5 separate regions of the Mus musculus genome follow, and regions 1, 2, 3 and 4 are each reported to be linked to region 5. The links are microRNA targets in miRTarBase. Many come from high-throughput screens and were not tested one by one. Region 5 holds a microRNA gene; each other region holds the end of a gene's coding sequence.

Evidence for each region. The annotated mature microRNA mmu-miR-204-5p reads UUCCCUUUGUCAUCCUAUGCCU and lies in region 5 at 1,162-1,183, opposite strand. An mRNA with a match to its seed (bases 2 to 7 or 8) in the 3' UTR can be bound and repressed. Matches are read on the target gene's strand: a 7mer-m8 pairs with bases 2 to 8, a 7mer-A1 pairs with bases 2 to 7 and ends in A, and an 8mer does both.
Region 1: the mRNA of Lhfpl4 is a reported target of mmu-miR-204-5p. Seed matches in the 3' UTR shown: 7mer-m8 at 2,543-2,549.
Region 2: miRTarBase lists Il21 as a target of mmu-miR-204-5p. Seed matches in the 3' UTR shown: 8mer at 2,912-2,919.
Region 3: miRTarBase lists Ppm1k as a target of mmu-miR-204-5p. Seed matches in the 3' UTR shown: 7mer-m8 at 1,462-1,468 and 8mer at 2,164-2,171.
Region 4: miRTarBase lists Mmp9 as a target of mmu-miR-204-5p. The part of its 3' UTR that is shown has no 7-base or 8-base seed match.

What each region holds. Positions count from the first base shown.
Region 1 is chr6:113,168,675-113,172,208 of GRCm38, reverse strand. Lhfpl4 (lipoma HMGIC fusion partner-like protein 4) reads left to right here. Exons shown (of 4, transcript NM_177763.3): 4 at 251-3,534. The coding sequence ends at 351. Among named protein-coding and RNA genes, the nearest start is that of Lhfpl4, 25 kb to the left of the region's middle.
Region 2 is chr3:37,222,535-37,226,072 of GRCm38, reverse strand. It overlaps Il21 (interleukin 21), which reads left to right. Exons shown (of 5, transcript NM_021782.3): 4 at 547-624; 5 at 713-3,314. The coding sequence ends at 736. Gm36168 (a long non-coding RNA gene) reads right to left here and starts at 1,676. Exons shown (of 4, transcript XR_389693.2): 1 at 1,585-1,676; 2 at 633-840.
Region 3 is chr6:57,507,981-57,511,518 of GRCm38, reverse strand. It overlaps Ppm1k (protein phosphatase 1K (PP2C domain containing)), which reads left to right. Exons shown (of 7, transcript NM_175523.5): 7 at 670-3,538. The coding sequence ends at 801. Among named protein-coding and RNA genes, the nearest start is that of Ppm1k, 26 kb to the left of the region's middle.
Region 4 is chr2:164,954,331-164,957,868 of GRCm38, reverse strand. It overlaps Mmp9 (matrix metallopeptidase 9), which reads right to left. Exons shown (of 13, transcript NM_013599.4): 13 at 2,019-3,096. The coding sequence ends at 2,963. Among named protein-coding and RNA genes, the nearest start is that of Mmp9, 7.9 kb to the right of the region's middle.
Region 5 is chr19:22,748,255-22,751,792 of GRCm38, reverse strand. Mir204 (microRNA 204) reads right to left here and starts at 1,188; the gene lies at 1,121-1,188. The region is part of intron 6 of Trpm3 (transient receptor potential cation channel, subfamily M, member 3); the gene reads right to left.

The DNA of each region.
Region 1 (3,534 bases), not on the chromosome of region 5:
TATGACCTTTCAGAATGGCCCTGTGGAGTGGGAGAGGGTCTTTATTTCACACATGACAGCTAATGGGTTACATGGTGTGCTTAAGGCTGACCTGTCATTCAAGGACTTGGTTCTAGTCACTTCTGGCCATTTGTGTCTTGGGGAGTGGCTGAGGGGGCAGCTGGGACCTCACAGGCTCTAACATTCTCCCTCTTCCTCTCCCTCCCCTTCCCCCTCTCTCTTTCTCCCCTCCCCTCCCTTCCTCCCACAGATTTCGTGGGCACTACAGTAAGTTCCGTGCTGCGGCCAGGAGGTGATGTGTCTGGCTGGGGAGTCCTACCATGCCCTGTTGCTCACACACAGGGACCCTGAAAGCCGGGATTTTATAGCCCAGGAGTTGGCCTGACCTCAGCATATCCCGTCTGCTGCCCTCTCATTCCTGCGTTCAAGCTCCAGACCCAAATCTTGAACTGGCTGCACACGGACCTCCTCCGGGCTCTGAAGAGAGGCAGGGGCTAGGTGGCAGCCTGGCAAGAAGGCAGAGCCCTTGAGATCCTGAGTCTGGCCCCGCCTCCATTGGACCTAGTGGAGCCTGGGCCTCCCTCTTTGGTCCCTCGGTTTCCTTCTCTCCTGTGTAGACTAGCTGGAGGTCCCTGGGGATCCCCAGGGAAAGGACGCTCTGCCGCGCAATCTCCTTGGACCCCTTCAGTGTGCAGGGCTGCCTGCTGCGTCCTTGCCTGCCGGTCCTGATCGCCTAAAGAGACTTACTCAACACACTGCCCCAGGAGGGCCAGACTCTTTCCTACTTTATTTTTATTCGCTGATGATGGTCCCACCACATCTGCCACAAAGCTCCAGGTGCCACCAGCCCCCCAACGGGGCCTCCTCTGCCTCCCTCATTCAAGCCTGCACCCAGCTCTCAAAAGAATCTGAGCCGTGCTGAGGGGGAAAGGATAGGGTCTTCCTTCCTGCTGCTGGTAGTCCTTCATCACCTCAGAGTCTGAGGGGGAGACACGGGCTCTGGAGGCTGTGGGAGGAGGAAGCTAGTTCCAGCCTGAGGCTGGCCTGGCCTCTTCCCTACTGGGATATCTCACTGGTGACTGGCCCCTCGAGCCTGGCCTGTTTTGTACAGCATAGACTTCTCAGGCCCATTGTCAGGGTTGGTGGCTGTGGAGAGGGGGCACAGAGGTGGGGACTTAGGGGTTACCCCTCTCCTTCTCATGCTTCCTACACCCTGGACATCTGCCAAGGGCAGAGACTGTCTTGCGTCTTTGATACTTTTCTGCCTAACTTGAACTTGCAGGTCACCTCTGAACAGGGTACCCTTGTCCCCACCCCAGGCCCTGTTACCCTGTCCCTGCCTCTTTCTCCTCTTTGCCCACTTCTCGCCTTGCGATAAGCCCAGGGTCTGCAACCTCATGGGCAGTGCTTGGAGCTGAGGTAGGTGTGTGTGCATGAGTGTGTGCGTGTATGTGTGTGTATGTGTGTGTATGCGTGTGTATGCGTGAGTATGTGTGTGCGTGTATGTGTGTATGTGTGTGTTTGTGTGTGTGTGCGTGTGTGTATGTGTGTATGTGTGTGTGTGTGTGTGTGTGCGTGTGTATGTGTGTGCATGTATGTATGTATGTGTGTGTTTGTGTGTGCGTGTGTGTGTGTGTGTGTGTGTGTGTGTGTGTGCGTGTGTTAGGAAAGGGCAGATGAGAAGATCTCTCTTCTCCTGCAGTGGGGGGCCCCTCCCTCCCCCTTAGCAGAGAGAAAAACGAGGGAGATTCCAGGTGGTTTTTTGTTGTTGTTGTTGTTGTTGTTTTGTTTTTTATTTTGTTGTAGTTTTTGACCATCTTTGGCTACCTTATGGATCTGGTGGCAGAGCCATCTAATCATAGAAAAGCCTCCAGTTTCCAGTGGAGGGGTGGCAGACGAACGTCATCAAACATAATGTCTCCGAGGACACGGCCTGCTGCCTGGTCCTTGTGTCGAGGAATGTGTGCCTCCTATAGGCTGTCCAGGAGGCGTCTCACTTCCCTGTGTTACATTGGCCTCAGCCAGAGAGGAAGAACGGCTAGTCTATGAGTTTGCTGTCCTTGTGTTCATTTTCAGAGGACTTGGAGCTGAGTTAGGATTCCTGAGCCAGGCCCATGACCCAAGGCTGCCCCAGCAGGACCCTACCTGGAATCTGATGCTGGTTCCTGGCAGAATTCCTGACACTTGGAACGTTCCAGATCCCATCTCCACATTTTCTCCTCTCTCCTCCAGGGTAGACACCTCCTCCTGAGCTTTGGCCACTGCCCTTGTCTTCCCCAGCTCTTGTCCCAACCTGGTCCCTCCCTGGAGCCAGAGTGCTGGAGTCATCTTCAGCAGGTAGCCAGGAGACTGGGAATGGACAGGGAGGGTGGGGGAGCCTTGTCAGAAGGAGAAGGGAGCAGGAAGTCAGATCCTCAGCTTCAAACCAGAGGGGAGGGTCCAGGTAGTGGCGAGAGGGGCAGGAGTGGGTGACTGACTGAGAAGCGGGCAGGAGCAAAGCCGGCGAAGTAAAGATGAGGCAGGAGACAGGCGACAGGCATGGAAAGGGAGGAATGGAGAGAATGGAGAGAGAGAGAGAGAGAGAGAGAGAGAGAGAGAGAGAGAGAGAGAGAGAGAGAGAGAGAGAGATCTGGAGAGGCACACACAACGATGGAGAAGTGAAGAACTAGAATGGGTTTTCCATGGATGGGCAGCAGATGAAGAAACCTGGGAGGTGGGAAATGGAGGGGTAATTCACAGGGAGCAAGAACAAAATGTAGAGAAGAAAGAAGATAGTGGGTATGTGTGTGAAGAGGAAACGCTAGGGATTGAGGAGGGCAGCCATGTGTGTGCTTGGAGAGCCTGTTTTCCTAAGAACACTTGCTGCCCAGGGGGTCCCTTGTGCTTTGGCAGACAGGATAGAATTGACTTCTTGGTGTCTGCGGTAGCTCTGATCCTTTGGAGAGAACTGTGTGTGTACAAGGGACCGAGCAGGCCAGGCTGTGTTAGATAGAGGTGGGCTAATGACAGAGAGGAAGGGCATGAGTTCCCTCTGAGGAGTCGTCTACCAGTGTTCTTGCCACTCTCCAGCCAACCAGCTGCTGCCCAGCGGTGCAGTGTGGAGTTTCAGGCTGGCAGGCTGAGGTCTGCAGTCTGCAGGAGCCCCAGGGTATCGCGGGGAAAGAAGAGAGGGAGCAATGGGAACCAAAATGTGGTCTTGAAGGCTTAGAAGAGTTAGGGACAAAGAAAATGGATGTTTCGGCCAAGAACTCAGGTGAGGCTCTAACTGACCTCCTGGCAGTTGACGTAGGACAGTTAGGGCGGGGAGCTGGTGTTAGCCTTTGGGGAAGGATAGGATATGGACATCAACATCTCTGTTTCTGATCACTAACCAAGAGCTTCCCGTTGTTGGGTCCCTGAAAATCCTCAGCTATTTGTGACTGGATGGAGAGGCTGGTGTTTGGTGTTAGCGGATTTCTTTGCTCTTGACAGAGAGGGGAGAGGAGAAAGCAGTTATAGCTTCAATGGGGTCCAGCCTCTGCTCCAGAGCACTGT
Region 2 (3,538 bases), not on the chromosome of region 5:
TAGAAATTTGATATATATGAAAAAATTATCTGCCCAGGTGATCTCTATAGACTTGTACATAAAAGCTAGATACCACTTCTGTATCTAAAAATAGTAAGTGCTCCATCTGTGCAGGGTGGGGGTGGGTGGGAGGGGGAGCGACAGAGCAGCCACCACAAATCCTGCCCTGAAAGCATATCTAAAGCCCAGGAAACCCTTGTAATTGGTTAAAAACTAACAGCAAACAGCATATAACAACCAGGGTAACAAGAATGCAGAGGAGGAGGAGGGCGAGGAAGAGGAAGAGGAAGAAAGGGGACAAAAAACGGATATAATAATTTAAACACCAAAATATTCAGAGTTGTCTCTGAGGATAAAATCACACGTGGTTTCCAGAACAATTTTACAGAATTTTCCTAATGCTTGTTACTGAATATGATTTATGTTCACAAGAGAAGAAATGAATTTTACATAAGTATTTTATGAAGTATGAAGTTAGTTCTTAAAAAATAATTTTTAAAGTTTTAAAATTAATTAATTAATTAATTGATTAATTTTGATTTACAGAAATGCCCTTCCTGTGATTCGTATGAGAAAAGGACACCCAAAGAATTCCTAGAAAGACTAAAATGGCTCCTTCAAAAGGTATGCACCTTAAATGCATTTCTTTCACTTCCATGTTGTGTCCGGGTACCTCCTGTGCCCAGTGACTCATAGGCTCTCGTTCCCACAGATGATTCATCAGCATCTCTCCTAGAACACATAGGACCCGAAGATTCCTGAGGATCCGAGAAGATTCCCGAGGACTGAGGAGACGCCGGACACTATAGACGCTCACGAATGCAGGAGTACATCTTGCCTCTTGGGATTGCAAGTGGAGAAGTACGATACGTTATGATAAGAACAACTCAGAAAAGCTATAGGTTAAGATCCTTTCGCCCATTAACTAAGCAGACATTGTGGTTCCCTGCACAGACTCCATGCTGTCAACATGGAAAATCTCAACTCAACAAGAGCCCAGCTTCCCGTGTCAGGGATTTCTGGTGCTTCTCAAGCTGTGGCTTCATCTTATTGCCCAACTGTGACATTCTTTGATTGGAAGGGGAAAACTAAAGCTTTTAGCAAAAATACAGCTAGGGAATTTGTCGATCTGCGAGAGTAAGACCTCTTATGATCCTAACGGAATGATGTAAGCTGGAAATAATAAGCATAAGATGAAATTGAAAATTGAAGTCTTTATTCTTTAAGAAAAACTTTGTACTTGAAAGCATGTCTGAAGAGTTTACTCATTACCACAAACATCTAGCATATTGATAACTAACATCTTTATACTCTACAAGAGAGGCTTTCCAGATAGGTACAGTTTTTCTTCTCTATTAGGTCTATCAAAATTTAACCTATTATGAGGGTCACCCCTGGCTTTCACTGTTTTTCTAAAGAGGCAAGGGTGTAGTAAGAAGCAGGCTTAAGTTGCCTTCCTCCCAATGTCAAGTTCCTTTATAAGCTAATAGTTTAATCTTGTGAAGATGGCAATGAAAGCCTGTGGAAGTGCAAACCTCACTATCTTCTGGAGCCAAGTAGAATTTTCAAGTTTGTAGCTCTCACCTCAAGTGGTTATGGGTGTCCTGTGATGAATCTGCTAGCTCCAGCCTCAGTCTCCTCTCCCACATCCTTTCCTTTCTTTCCTCTTTGAAACTTCTAAGAAAAAGCAATCCAAACAAGTTCAGCACTTAAGACACATTGCATGCACACTTTTGATAAGTTAAATCCAACCATCTATTTAAAATCAAAATCAGGAGATGAGCCAAGAGACCAGAGGTTCTGTTCCAGTTTTAAACAGACTTTTACTGAACATCCCAATCTTTTAACCACAGAGGCTAAATTGAGCAAATAGTTTTGCCATTTGATATAATTTCCAACAGTATGTTTCAATGTCAAGTTAAAAAGTCTACAAAGCTATTTTCCCTGGAGTGGTATCATCGCTTTGAGAATTTCTTATGGTTAAAATGGATCTGAGATCCAAGCATGGCCTGGGGGATGGTTTTGATCTAAGGAAAAAGGTGTCTGTACCTCACAGTGCCTTTAAAACAAGCAGAGATCCCGTGTACCGCCCTAAGATAGCACAGACTAGTGTTAACTGATTCCCAGAAAAGTGTCACAATCAGAACCAACGCATTCTCTTAAACTTTAAAAATATGTATTGCAAAGAACTTGTGTAACTGTAAATGTGTGACTGTTGATGACATTATACACACATAGCCCACGTAAGTGTCCAATGGTGCTAGCATTGGTTGCTGAGTTTGCTGCTCGAAAGCTGAAGCAGAGATGCAGTCCTTCACAAAGCAATGATGGACAGAGAGGGGAGTCTCCATGTTTTATTCTTTTGTTGTTTCTGGCTGTGTAACTGTTGACTTCTTGACATTGTGATTTTTATATTTAAGACAATGTATTTATTTTGGTGTGTTTATTGTTCTAGCCTTTTAAATCACTGACAATTTCTAATCAAGAAGTACAAATAATTCAATGCAGCACAGGCTAAGAGCTTGTATCGTTTGGAAAAGCCAGTGAAGGCTTCTCCACTAGCCATGGGAAAGCTACGCTTTAGAGTAAACTAGACAAAATTGCACAGCAGTCTTGAACCTCTCTGTGCTCAAGACTCAGCCAGTCCTTTGACATTATTGTTCACTGTGGGTGGGAACACATTGGACCTGACACACTGTTGTGTGTCCATGAAGGTTGCCACTGGTGTAAGCTTTTTTTGGTTTTCATTCTCTTATCTGTAGAACAAGAATGTGGGGCTTTCCTAAGTCTATTCTGTATTTTATTCTGAACTTCGTATGTCTGAGTTTTAATGTTTTGAGTACTCTTACAGGAACACCTGACCACACTTTTGAGTTAAATTTTATCCCAAGTGTGATATTTAGTTGTTCAAAAAGGGAAGGGATATACATACATACATACATACATACATACATATATATATATATATATACATATATATATATATATATATGTATATATATATATATATAGAGAGAGAGAGAGAGAGAGAGAGAGAAAGAGAGAGAGGTTGTTGTAGGTCATAGGAGTTCAGAGGAAATCAGTTATGGCCGTTAATACTGTAGCTGAAAGTGTTTTCTTTGTGAATAAATTCATAGCATTATTGATCTATGTTATTGCTCTGTTTTATTTACAGTCACACCTGAGAATTTAGTTTTAATATGAATGATGTACTTTATAACTTAATGATTATTTATTATGTATTTGGTTTTGAATGTTTGTGTTCATGGCTTCTTATTTAAGACCTGATCATATTAAATGCTACCCAGTCAGAACAACTGTCTGTTGTGATTCTCTGAATGTCCTTAATGCAACCAACCTGGTAGAAAAGGTGGGTGCATAGGTTTTATATGGCTACAGCACAGATGTTTACTTCTTATTGACTGCCACTAAGATAGAAGTATCCCGTGTTCTTGCTCAAAGACCCCACTCTCTTTGCAGACCACCCTCTGAATGCCTGGCAGGCTTGAAGTGGTTGAAACTTGCTTGTCTCACAAGT
Region 3 (3,538 bases), not on the chromosome of region 5:
TAGAATCTTTTGGCTTGTTTGATGCTAACTGGAACTCTCAGCACTTCCAAACACTGCTGACCAGCACTCATCTATGTGAACTGGTCCCTAAAAGTGATTTATAATCCTGCTGCAGGCAATTTCATTTATTTCCACTTTCCCATTGAAGAAGGAATATTAAAAACATTTTTGTTATAACCTTGTACATACCCATTTCTGAGGTTTTAAATGTTAAGGTAGCTTATACAGTGGTAGGTTTCTAGCCGCACTTTCATACAAAGATGTTCCTATATTTTGTTCCTTTTTATCCCTCACCCAATCTCTTCCATTTCTTGGGCTATACTCCTACCAGCAGTTTCATTGGTAAGAATCAGCATTTATTAAGGCTTGCCCATAATTGGTACCATGCTAAGGGCTTTGGGTGTGTCCTCACTGGGAGCACAGGTAATTTCTATTGCCAAGATTGCTACAGTGGAGCATAGGATATAGTTGAACCATCTGAAATTCATATGCACTTAATAACCATATGGCACATGGTTACAGGGTGAAACCATTCCAAACCTTGTTAGGTAGTTACATTTGTATCGTAAAGTGTGTGTAGAACCAGTTGGCCTTCCAGAGAAAGGATGCTGTGTGATTGCACAAGGTCCCTTGACTCCAGCGCCTGTCTCTTCTTCCCCACTCCTGCAGGCAATACAGTACGGTACCGAAGACAACAGCACTGCAGTAGTGGTGCCCTTTGGTGCTTGGGGAAAATACAAGAACTCTGAAATTACCTTCTCATTCAGCAGAAGCTTTGCCTCCAGTGGGAGATGGGCCTGATCGACAGCTCAGACTCGGAGTTCCTATGCAGCAGTGTCAGTGGGCTTATCAAGAAACTGGTAACACACAGAAGGCCACCTGTACCCGTGTGTCATTGTGACTGATCGATCCTAACAGTATAAGCTTACCAGCCACATACCCAGTAGTATTTTCATAAATCCTCATCATCATTATGGTCAACTGCACATGCTCAGTGTAAGCATCATAACACAGCTGTGAAGCCGCTGTGCATCTCTGAGCTGAATGGGAGAAGAAGCGGTTTTGGTCCATTTGATGAGTGATGAATCTGTGTTTCCTTTGTAAGGCTAGAGATTGAATCTGGGGCTTTCTAAGTTTTTAAGACTAAGAGGCAGATTTAGTTTCTTTTTAGTAAGTTTGTTCTTTATTCAGTTGGACAGGTATTTTTTTTTTTGAATTTTGATAGCTGGTCAATGTGTTATTTGCAAGTGTTCCTTTTTCCTTTCTCTGTAGAAAGCAGGTTTTCACTGGCTGACCTTGAACTCCTGGGTTCAAATGGTCTTCCTAACGTCAGCTTCCTGAGTACCTTTTAATTTTTTTTTTTTTAAAGCAGAACAAGCATATTTTTTCCCAAGAAGAGTGAGAACATATACCTAGGAGATGGGGGCATTCCAAGGGAGGGATACAAGGGATATAAGAGATAAAGGGATACAAGGTACATTTTAATAAATGTACCTAGGAGTTATAATAAAGCCTAGGTTCTCTATGACTGAATAGTGTACTCTGGATCACTTATTAGTAAATTTAACCCTGCAAAATACATGGCTAAAGTGTATACATATTTATAAATAGCTCTCTTGTGTATTTTAAATATTTTTAGCACTTCCCCATCCATTTCTATTTTTGTGGAGTTAAATATGCTATATATTGGTAACTGTTCGGTAAGCTCCAGAGAAGAATATTCTGAGGCTTTGGTCAAAATCTGTAAAGTGAAACACTGACAGTGCCAATCTTGTGTAAGTTTGTTGCTGTGTGGTTTGTATGTAGCGTTTTTATACCACTTTCTGTGCACACAGTAAGCGAGTTGGGGCCTTTGTTAGTAAAGATAATATTACAATGACTTATACTGCTATAGACATAGCTTGGGGTTTATGTCTCCAATTTCCTCATTTCTAAGATTCATGCGGAAAAAAAAATCTTTTACAAAGGATATTCAAACATGTCAGCTTGCTATGTAAATTAGGGGTGTAAAACCACACTCCTTTTTACCTGCATATAAAATTACTGTCAAACTGTGAATCCCTGAATGTGTGCTTGTAGTTAATCTATATTTTCACAGGGTAATTTAAATTTAGTATATGTGCAGTGAGTGTATATATGTATATTTTGAAGTAATATAAAATTAAAGGGAACAATCTTGTGGCGCATTTATCAGCTAGCTGTAAATTATTGATATATTTATCTCTAAGGACACTCAATAACATTGAGTGTCAAATTCTCTGTAATAAAGATTCAGTTGTTACTGGTAGATAACCACTATGGATTACAAATAAATATGGGGGCCAGTATTGGTGGCCTCTACCTATAATCTCAGGACTTAAGGAGGAGACAAGAGAATCGGGATGGTAACTTTGAAATTAGCCTGAGCTACAGAGCAAGTTCCACGGTAGCCTGAGCCACAGCTTGTCTCCCCGAACAAAGTATCAGCAACAAATGGCTGTAAGAGACATTTTATTAGGTGTCACGTATGTGGATAACCAAAGAACAGAGGCAGACATATCGTTGTGTGGTAATTCGAATATAAAGTTATGGGATATGAGAAGAACAGGAAATGTCAAAAGTGACTTGGAATTTTATGGCAGAAAACAAAGGAAAAATAATGAAATATATATACCTTCAAGTCTGACATGTTTTCTGCCTTTAACTTTTGTTTAAAATATTTAGTAGAAATAAAGAATAAGTTCTCAATAAAGAATTTAAGGGGGCTGGTGAGATGGCTCAGTGGTTAGGAGCACCCGACTGCTCTTCCGAAGGTCCAGAGTTCAAATCCCAGCAACCACATGGTGGCTCACAACCATCCGTAACAAGATCTGACTCCCTCTTCTGGTGTGTCTGAAGACAGCTACAGTGTACTTACATATAATAATAAATAAATCTTTAAAAACTAAAATTAAATTAAATTAAAAAAAAAAGAATTTAAGGTCTTTTCATGGATGTCAGTTGAAAGAAACAATGCTTTTCCAGACATGTTAGCTTACATGTGCAGTTCCAACATCTGGGGAGGCTGGGGCACAGTCATCCTGAATAGCAAGAGCCCAGGTCAAGGGACAAAATACACGGAAGAGAGTAGAGGACGTGCTCACTGTCCGAGGAAGAATGGGGAGACTAGCAGAGCTTAAAGGCCTTCTTGTTGAGTCTGGTGTTGAAAAGTTATGAAAACAACGTGTTTGTTTGTTTGTTTGTTTGTTTTTTTGTTTGTTTTTTGGTTTTGGTGTTTTTTTTTTTTGGTGTTTTTTTTTTTTTTTTTTTTGGTTTTTCAAGACAGGGTTTCTCTGTGTAGCCCTGGCTGTCCTGGAACTCACTTTGTAGACCAGGCTGGCCTTGAACTCAGAAATCTGCCTGCCTCTGCCTCCCAAGTACTGGAATTAAAGGCATGTGCCACCACATCCTGGCTTGAAAACAACTTTTAAGAGTATGGAGAACTTGTAAACTAATATGCACAACAAAATTCTCAAACATTAAAAATGACAACGTGGTGTGTCTTATTTGTTTCTGTTTT
Region 4 (3,538 bases), not on the chromosome of region 5:
TTTACAAAATATGCACAAAGCTCACAAAGACATTGTTGAACAAAGGGATTCAAGAGACACAAGAGGTACAACACACCTTCCAGAAGTATTTAAACAGTGGGGGCTGGCAATGAGATGGTTTAGCATATGAAAGTGTTTGCTGGGTAGTCACTGTGGAAAGAAAGAACTCCTAAGAGCTGTCATCCTCTGTGTATGAATGTGTGCATCCACAGTCACACAGCATGGTGACAGCTGGAAGAGGAGAGAGTTCGGTCTGTTTAGACGGAAAGCCTATTAGGTCACAAAGAGCAGGCAGAGGAACCTGAGTCTAGGGCTCTGGGGAGAGGCTCAGCTGGGAAATGTCAGTCTGGAGTCTTTTGCCTGGAGATGCTTGCTGTTCAGAGTAGGTTGCTTGGTGAGATCAGGGGAACAAGTGTCCCAAGAGGACTCTGAGAATTGAACCTTAGGGTGCGCTCCCACGAGAGGCTACAGAGAGGAAGAAAAGAACCAGGAGGTATGCAAAGTATTTCTGGGGAGAAAGCAAGGTGGACTGTCCCATGCATGTGTGTGTGAAGGGACAGTGTTCACTGTGCTGACCGGGAGTCGCACAGGAGCCACACGGGAGCCACACGGGAGCCGCACGGGAGCCACACGGGAGCCACACGGGAGCCACACGGGAGCCAGTGGCCTTGTGAGGCAGGAGCCTGTGGTGAGCGTTGTTTACAGCCAGCAACAAGGAAGCTGAGAGGGGAGTGAGATTCACCTATGGGTAAGTTCTACTGGGCGTGGGCCTGGGACCAGAGAAGCAGGATAGTAACCCCGGGGGAGTCAGTGTGGGGCAGAGGGCTGTGCACAGACAGCCTGGTCCCCAGTGACCCAGTGGGTGGTGATTTCCACCTGCATGGGATGGGAAGTGTTTGGTCCCGCCTCCCAGGTCCCTGGCTCCTGTCATGTAGCTACAGCCTCCCACAGCCTGCCCCCCAACACACACAAAGAGTTATGTGGCCATCAGTCACGGAGGAGCAGCACCAAGCCCTCCCCCATGCAAATAAGGTTTCCCCAAAGCTCTCAGACCAAACCAATGAGAAGTACCTGTTGTCAGACCCTTACCCACCCCCAAAACTGTATATAAGAATCCTATCTGGAAGGATCAGAGGTGTGTGCGAGAACTACTCCATCCTCTGAGCCTTCTGTCCTAAGAGCTGTAACACTTGGGAAGAGGTCTGCTCTCCCAAAATGCTGCCTGAAGCTCCGCACTCCTCACTAGCTAGTCCGTCTCTCATTAGCCCAGCCAGACCCTACTCAGTGCAGGACTGTGCAGAGTAACTGAGCAATCTGGCAGGCACAGCAGAGATGGAGGTGGAGCCAACTGCAGCAGCAGAAGCAGCTGAAGTGACCTCCTCTCCCTGCCCACACTCGCTTCCCTTCACCAGAACTCTCGCACCAGGCTGGGCCAGAGATCTCCGTAGAAAGCCTCCGGGACACAGGCCCACAAGTCAGGACAGAGAGAGGTTTTAAACAAGGCGTGTTAAGGAATGCTTGTGTGTAGATGGGAGTGGCTCATTCCTGAGATACAGAGTCCAGCAGGGAGAGGAGCACCCCAAATAAGCTTGGTGGTGTTAGTGGGGTTTCTCTGGGCTACTCCAGACTCCTGCTTGGACTTCTCAGGTGGAACACAGTTACATCACCCCAGCCTCCCTCTTCTTTCCAGCCTTTCACTGAGCACACACCCTCATGCTCACCCTGGTTGGGCTCTCCTCAGTGGGCACAAGTCCCCACGTGTCCCCATTGCTAGCTAGCTTCTCAGGATTTGAATGCTATGACCGCCATCCTGTGTGTCCATTTTCAGGCTGGTTTGGCGAGATGGTTGGCTAGAGAGGTAGCTTCAATGCCCTTGCTGCTGTTGTAGGGATCAGAATTTGGCCCCCAGCATTGGCCTGGGGCAGTGCATTACAGCCCACAACTCTAATTCCAAAGGATCCAGCGCCCTCTTCTGGCCTCCTGAGGCATCAGCACACATGTGCACACACACACACACATAAATAAGTAAATATTCATTTATTCATTTATTTAAAAAAGACTGCCAGGAAGACACTTGGTTATCCTTCCTGGATCAGTTCCAGCTGAGGGGTCATCTCACCTGGAGGACACAGTCTGACCTGAACCATAACGCACAGACCCCCTCTACCTCTCTAGCACACATGCTGTATACGCATGCTGCAGCTGCCAGCAACCACAGTGAGTGAGTTGGACTCTCGGGAGAGAGAGGAGTCTGGGGTCTGGTTTCAGCAGATTTACAGGACACGGAGAATCTCTGAGCAATCCTTGAAGGAAGAACCAACATTTCTGTCCCTAACGCCCAGTAGAGAGCCTGGCTCCCTAGGGATGCTCTCAATAAATGTTTGATGAGTGGATAGCTCGGTGGTGTTCTCCAATGTAAGAGAGAAATAGTTACATAATACCTTCCAGTAGGGGCAACTGAATACCTTAATATTTATGCAGCGGTTGGAGCCGCGCCCGACACACAGTAAGCATTCTGTGGGTTAAATACATGCATGTGAACATAACCTCATACATAATAAATAAAAGGGCTGGAGTCGGGAGAGGTGGTTTAGCCGGTGAAGTGCCTGTCACAAAAGCCAGCTGATTCAATTCTCAGACGCCACACAAAAATAAAAGGTCAGAATCCACCCTACAAAGTTGTCTTCTTGCTCGGATGCATCTGCAACTACAGATAAGCTGATTGACTAAAGTAGCTGGAAAAGGTTGGGGATCCGTGTTTATTAGAAACAGTCCAACAAGAAAGGACGGTGGGCAGAGAGAGCCCTGCCTGCCTCCACTCCTTCCCAGTCTCTAGAAGAGATCACCAGTCTGTACCTGGCCAGCTAGCACCTTTCCCTCGGATGGGGTTTGTGTGTGGTGGTGGTGGTGGTGGTCTCTAGAGACTTGCACTGCACGGTTGAAGCAAAGAAGGAGCCCTAGTTCAAGGGCACTGCAGGAGGTCGTAGGTCACGTAGCCCACGTCGTCCACCTGGTTCACCTCATGGTCCACCTTGTTCACCTCATTTTGGAAACTCACACGCCAGAAGAATTTGCCATGGCAGAAATAGGCTTTGTCTACGGGAAACAAGAACACACAAGAAAGCTGAGTCCTCTGCTCCCTCATCATTGACAAAAGGAACAAGATTTTTACAAGCACCTGTGGTGGTTTGAATGAAAATGGACCCTATAGGCCCATAGGGAGTGGCACTTATGAGGTGGGAGGGGGTGTGGCCTTATTGGAGGACCTGTGTCACTAGGGTGGGCTTTGAGATTTCAGATGTTCACGCCAAGCCCAGTGTCTCTCTCTTCTTGCTGCCTGCTGCTGAGGTAGAGCTCTCAGCTACCTCTCCAACACCACGTTTGCCTGTGTGCCACCTCGTTTCCCACCATGAAAATAATGGACTGAGCCTCTGACCTGTAAGCCAGCCCCAATTAAATCTTCTCCTTTGCCTGAAGAGAGGCAGCCCGGTGACAGTTTAAGTGGGAAGTCTTCCAAATAGGGGACAACGGGCCCGAA
Region 5 (3,538 bases):
AGGACAAAAGTCTAAATTATTTCCAACCTAAGTCTTTCTAATCTGCAAAGAATTTTCACAGTTCTTAACTCCATGGAGCAGTATCTAGGAGATCATATTTGAATGCCAGGCAGATGACCTAGTCAGACTTGCTTAAAAGAACTGCCCCATCCCTGAATAAGTAATTCCAAAGTGAAAAGGTCCTTTTCTCAAAAAGAGAGGGATCCTGGCTTGATTGGACAAGGGTTGGATGAACAAGACAGGCCAACACCAAGAAACCATTTTCCTTAAATTTTCTTCTATTCCCCAAAGTTGTTTTGACTTCATTGTCTTGATTTTCAAAGTGTGTTTTAATTAACAAGGATGGCTAATGTTTTACACACACACAAACAACTTGTGCCAAGTCATTTCACCAAATAGAGAGCTAAGATTTTTTTCAATACAAATCTTTCTTTAGAGCAGTGGTTCTCAACCTTCCTAATGCTGTGACCCTTTAATTCAGTTCCTCATGTTGTGGTGACCCCCAACTATAAAATTATTTTCATTGTTACTTCATAACTGTAATTTTACTTCTGCTATTAATCATAATGTAAATATTTTTGGAGACAACATTAGCCAAAGGGGTCATGACACACAGGTTGAGAGCTGCTGCTTTAGATGGAAGGCCATCTAAAAGACAGAGGAAAATTTGAATAATTTGAACAGTTATTCAATGCAGTTGAGAGCATTTGAAAAATGACATAGTCATCACATACCCCAGTAACTGCCCATGACTTTGGTATTTATGATTGCACTCAGTGTTGGTCTTTGGTTGAGACAGAAGAATGTCTGTATGATTGGGCTAAACAGTTTAGAGCATCCACAGAAGGTAGTAGGATGTTCTTGATATACATTACAACCTGTTCAGAGGAAGCTCAGTTTCCTTTACCAGTTAGAATTTGAACATGGGGTTGTTAATCTGGGAGAATCTGATTCACTCTTCTCACTTCTTGAATTCCCTGGGTAAGGTTCTTTGATGTTTCAAATTGTCACCCTTGTCTTAGGAAAGTTATGGGCTCAATGATGGTAATTTTCATGTTATGGTTATCCAAATGCTTTTGATGATGGTGTAATGATCAAAAAAGATGCCAGTGATGACAATTGAACGTCCCTTTGCCTTCCCAGCCTCCTTCATATATTCTCAGGCATAGGATGACAAAGGGAAGTCCACGAGTCACATGAAGAAGGACTGTAGCCATGGTACACGGTCAGGAGCTCCTCCGCCTGCCTCCTCTGCCCCTCTTAGCCAACCTCTTCATTTCCTGCTCATCTTGATTCTCCGGCATCTTAGCCACTGACCAGCATTCTCTGCCCCTTGAGTCCTTGTTTGATATTTTGTTCAAAGCAATGCTTAGCCAAGTCCTGAACAGAGTGAGTCCTCAACTAGGTGCTGAATGAAGCAATGCCCATAAGCTTTCAAAGGTAGCCAAGTTTTAGCGAGTCTTCTCTTAAGGGAGCTAATGCTTTGTACGTGGATGGAAGGGGTAGTAAAGGTTTGGGAGTTACATCTGACTAGGTATGTACTCAGGTGCCTAAGTAGGTGGACATAATATTAAAGGCATAACTTATCTGAGATATCATTTTATAACTACAATAAAGCTATGCAATTTCTACCTTGAATGAATTTGTCAAGTATTAAAAGAGACAGTTTATATGGTGATACCTTACATAGTATCTGGAACTTGAATAAATCCTCCTTTCTTCTAGTCATATTTAGGATGCTGCTATCCTGTCCTAGGTGGCATCTCCAGGGTAACAGGTAAAAAGGAATCAATAAAGTCTGATGGGAATGGATGTCTCAGAAGAGATAAGCAGCAGTCAGAAGAGTGATGTGGTTAGGAATTTTTTAAAGGAAATTATAGCATCTATGGTTAATTTTCTTGGTTGGGGTTTAAGAGGAAATTCAAGATTTTTGTTAATTATACTTACCAATTGGGTCTAATTGGCAACTACCCCAAAATGAATAAAACAAGCGGGAGTCAAGAGAGAAAAACGGCAGGCATCCTGTCAAAAAACAAAAGCTTTGAAATTTCTACAACCCAATGGTCGGATACACATTTTATTAAAGCAGATGGACCACCCAATTTGTATAAGTCTCTGTGTGTGACTGAACCCATACTGCACACATAGAGCTGTGCAAAGAATCACACAGACTTCTCAAAACCAAACACAAGCAGATTCATAAGATCAACATCCCTTCTCTTGAAGGAAACATATTTTATTATGTTTTAATCTAAGACAGATATGGGAGATGAAGGGACTGAGTGCTTGTTCCAGTGCTTAGCACTGGTAAAACCCAGAAGCCGTGCTTGCTGGCCTGTTACATAGAATAACTACAATTCTTTCAGCTTGGTGTCTTCCAGGACAACAAGAACCAACTTCATGCCTGTCTTCTTTTTAGAAACGTTTCTGCGACTTTTGTTTGTTTCTTTGTTTGTTTGAAACACATACCTTTCATTGTTAAATGACTAGCTACGTGTGAATTAAAATACTAGCTGGTTACACGATAACCTATTTGATTTGCTACTAAACAATAACAATGATATTTACTTAAGATTTTCATTCTGCTCTTTTCTCGCTCGCTCATTGGCTAGCCAGAGGGGTATCTGTCTCCCCAACACTCCCTCTCTTTTTCTTTAACAGTCATCAAAGCTATTGCAGTGTGTTAGATTTCCCCTCTAGCTGGTTTTGCTGCCTCCCTCACGGGAAAGACATTCACAGGTAAGACCCTGTCTGGGAGCTGCTCACTGGGGAACCAAGCCAGCTTTTGTCTAGCTGGTGCAAAAAACACCTGCTACTCAATCTGAGCCAAAGGAAACGAGTCTGCACTTGCCTTCCTGGTGGTCTTTGCAGCATCAGAACAGAATTTAGTCGAACTGCAGACCCTCATGGTGAAACTTATGACCCCAGCTTTTTAGGACTGAGCTAGATTTCTAGAGAAGCCCCAGTTAGTGGCATTTGTTGGGACCACAGACTGAGCAAGGGCAGATGGCTGGTGAGAAGCATTATGCCCGTTTTCATGGGTCACCACTGAGCCCTTCCTCAGGCCTATGAGATGATAAAGGTTCGTTGTTGAAACAGTGAGTGCGTTGAGAGAACCATGGAGGACTAGCCCTCAAAGCACCGGACATGCAGCATCCTGCAGTACATGGGGTCACTTTCTTTGGCTTCTCTATTGTTCATAAAGTAACAATCCAAGAGTAGTGACAGTAGATTTCCCAGAGTGTCCATAATTAGTTTACTTCTGAGGACAATTAAGCTCATAAGAATATACTCTGTGTGTGGCAATCAGACCACTTGCTAAATACTGTAAGCAAAGCTTCTAATAGGTAGCAACCATACAAGCCCCAATATTTCTTGTATTGGGGTAAGGAACTGAGCAATAAACAAATAAATAATAAAGTTGAATAAATCTGGCTTTGTTACATCTCTCCTGCAGAATGAACCACACATGCTTGCATTTCAGTTTATTCTTCCCTAGGTATATAACATCCTCAGGAAGAAAAATCTCAAAGGATCC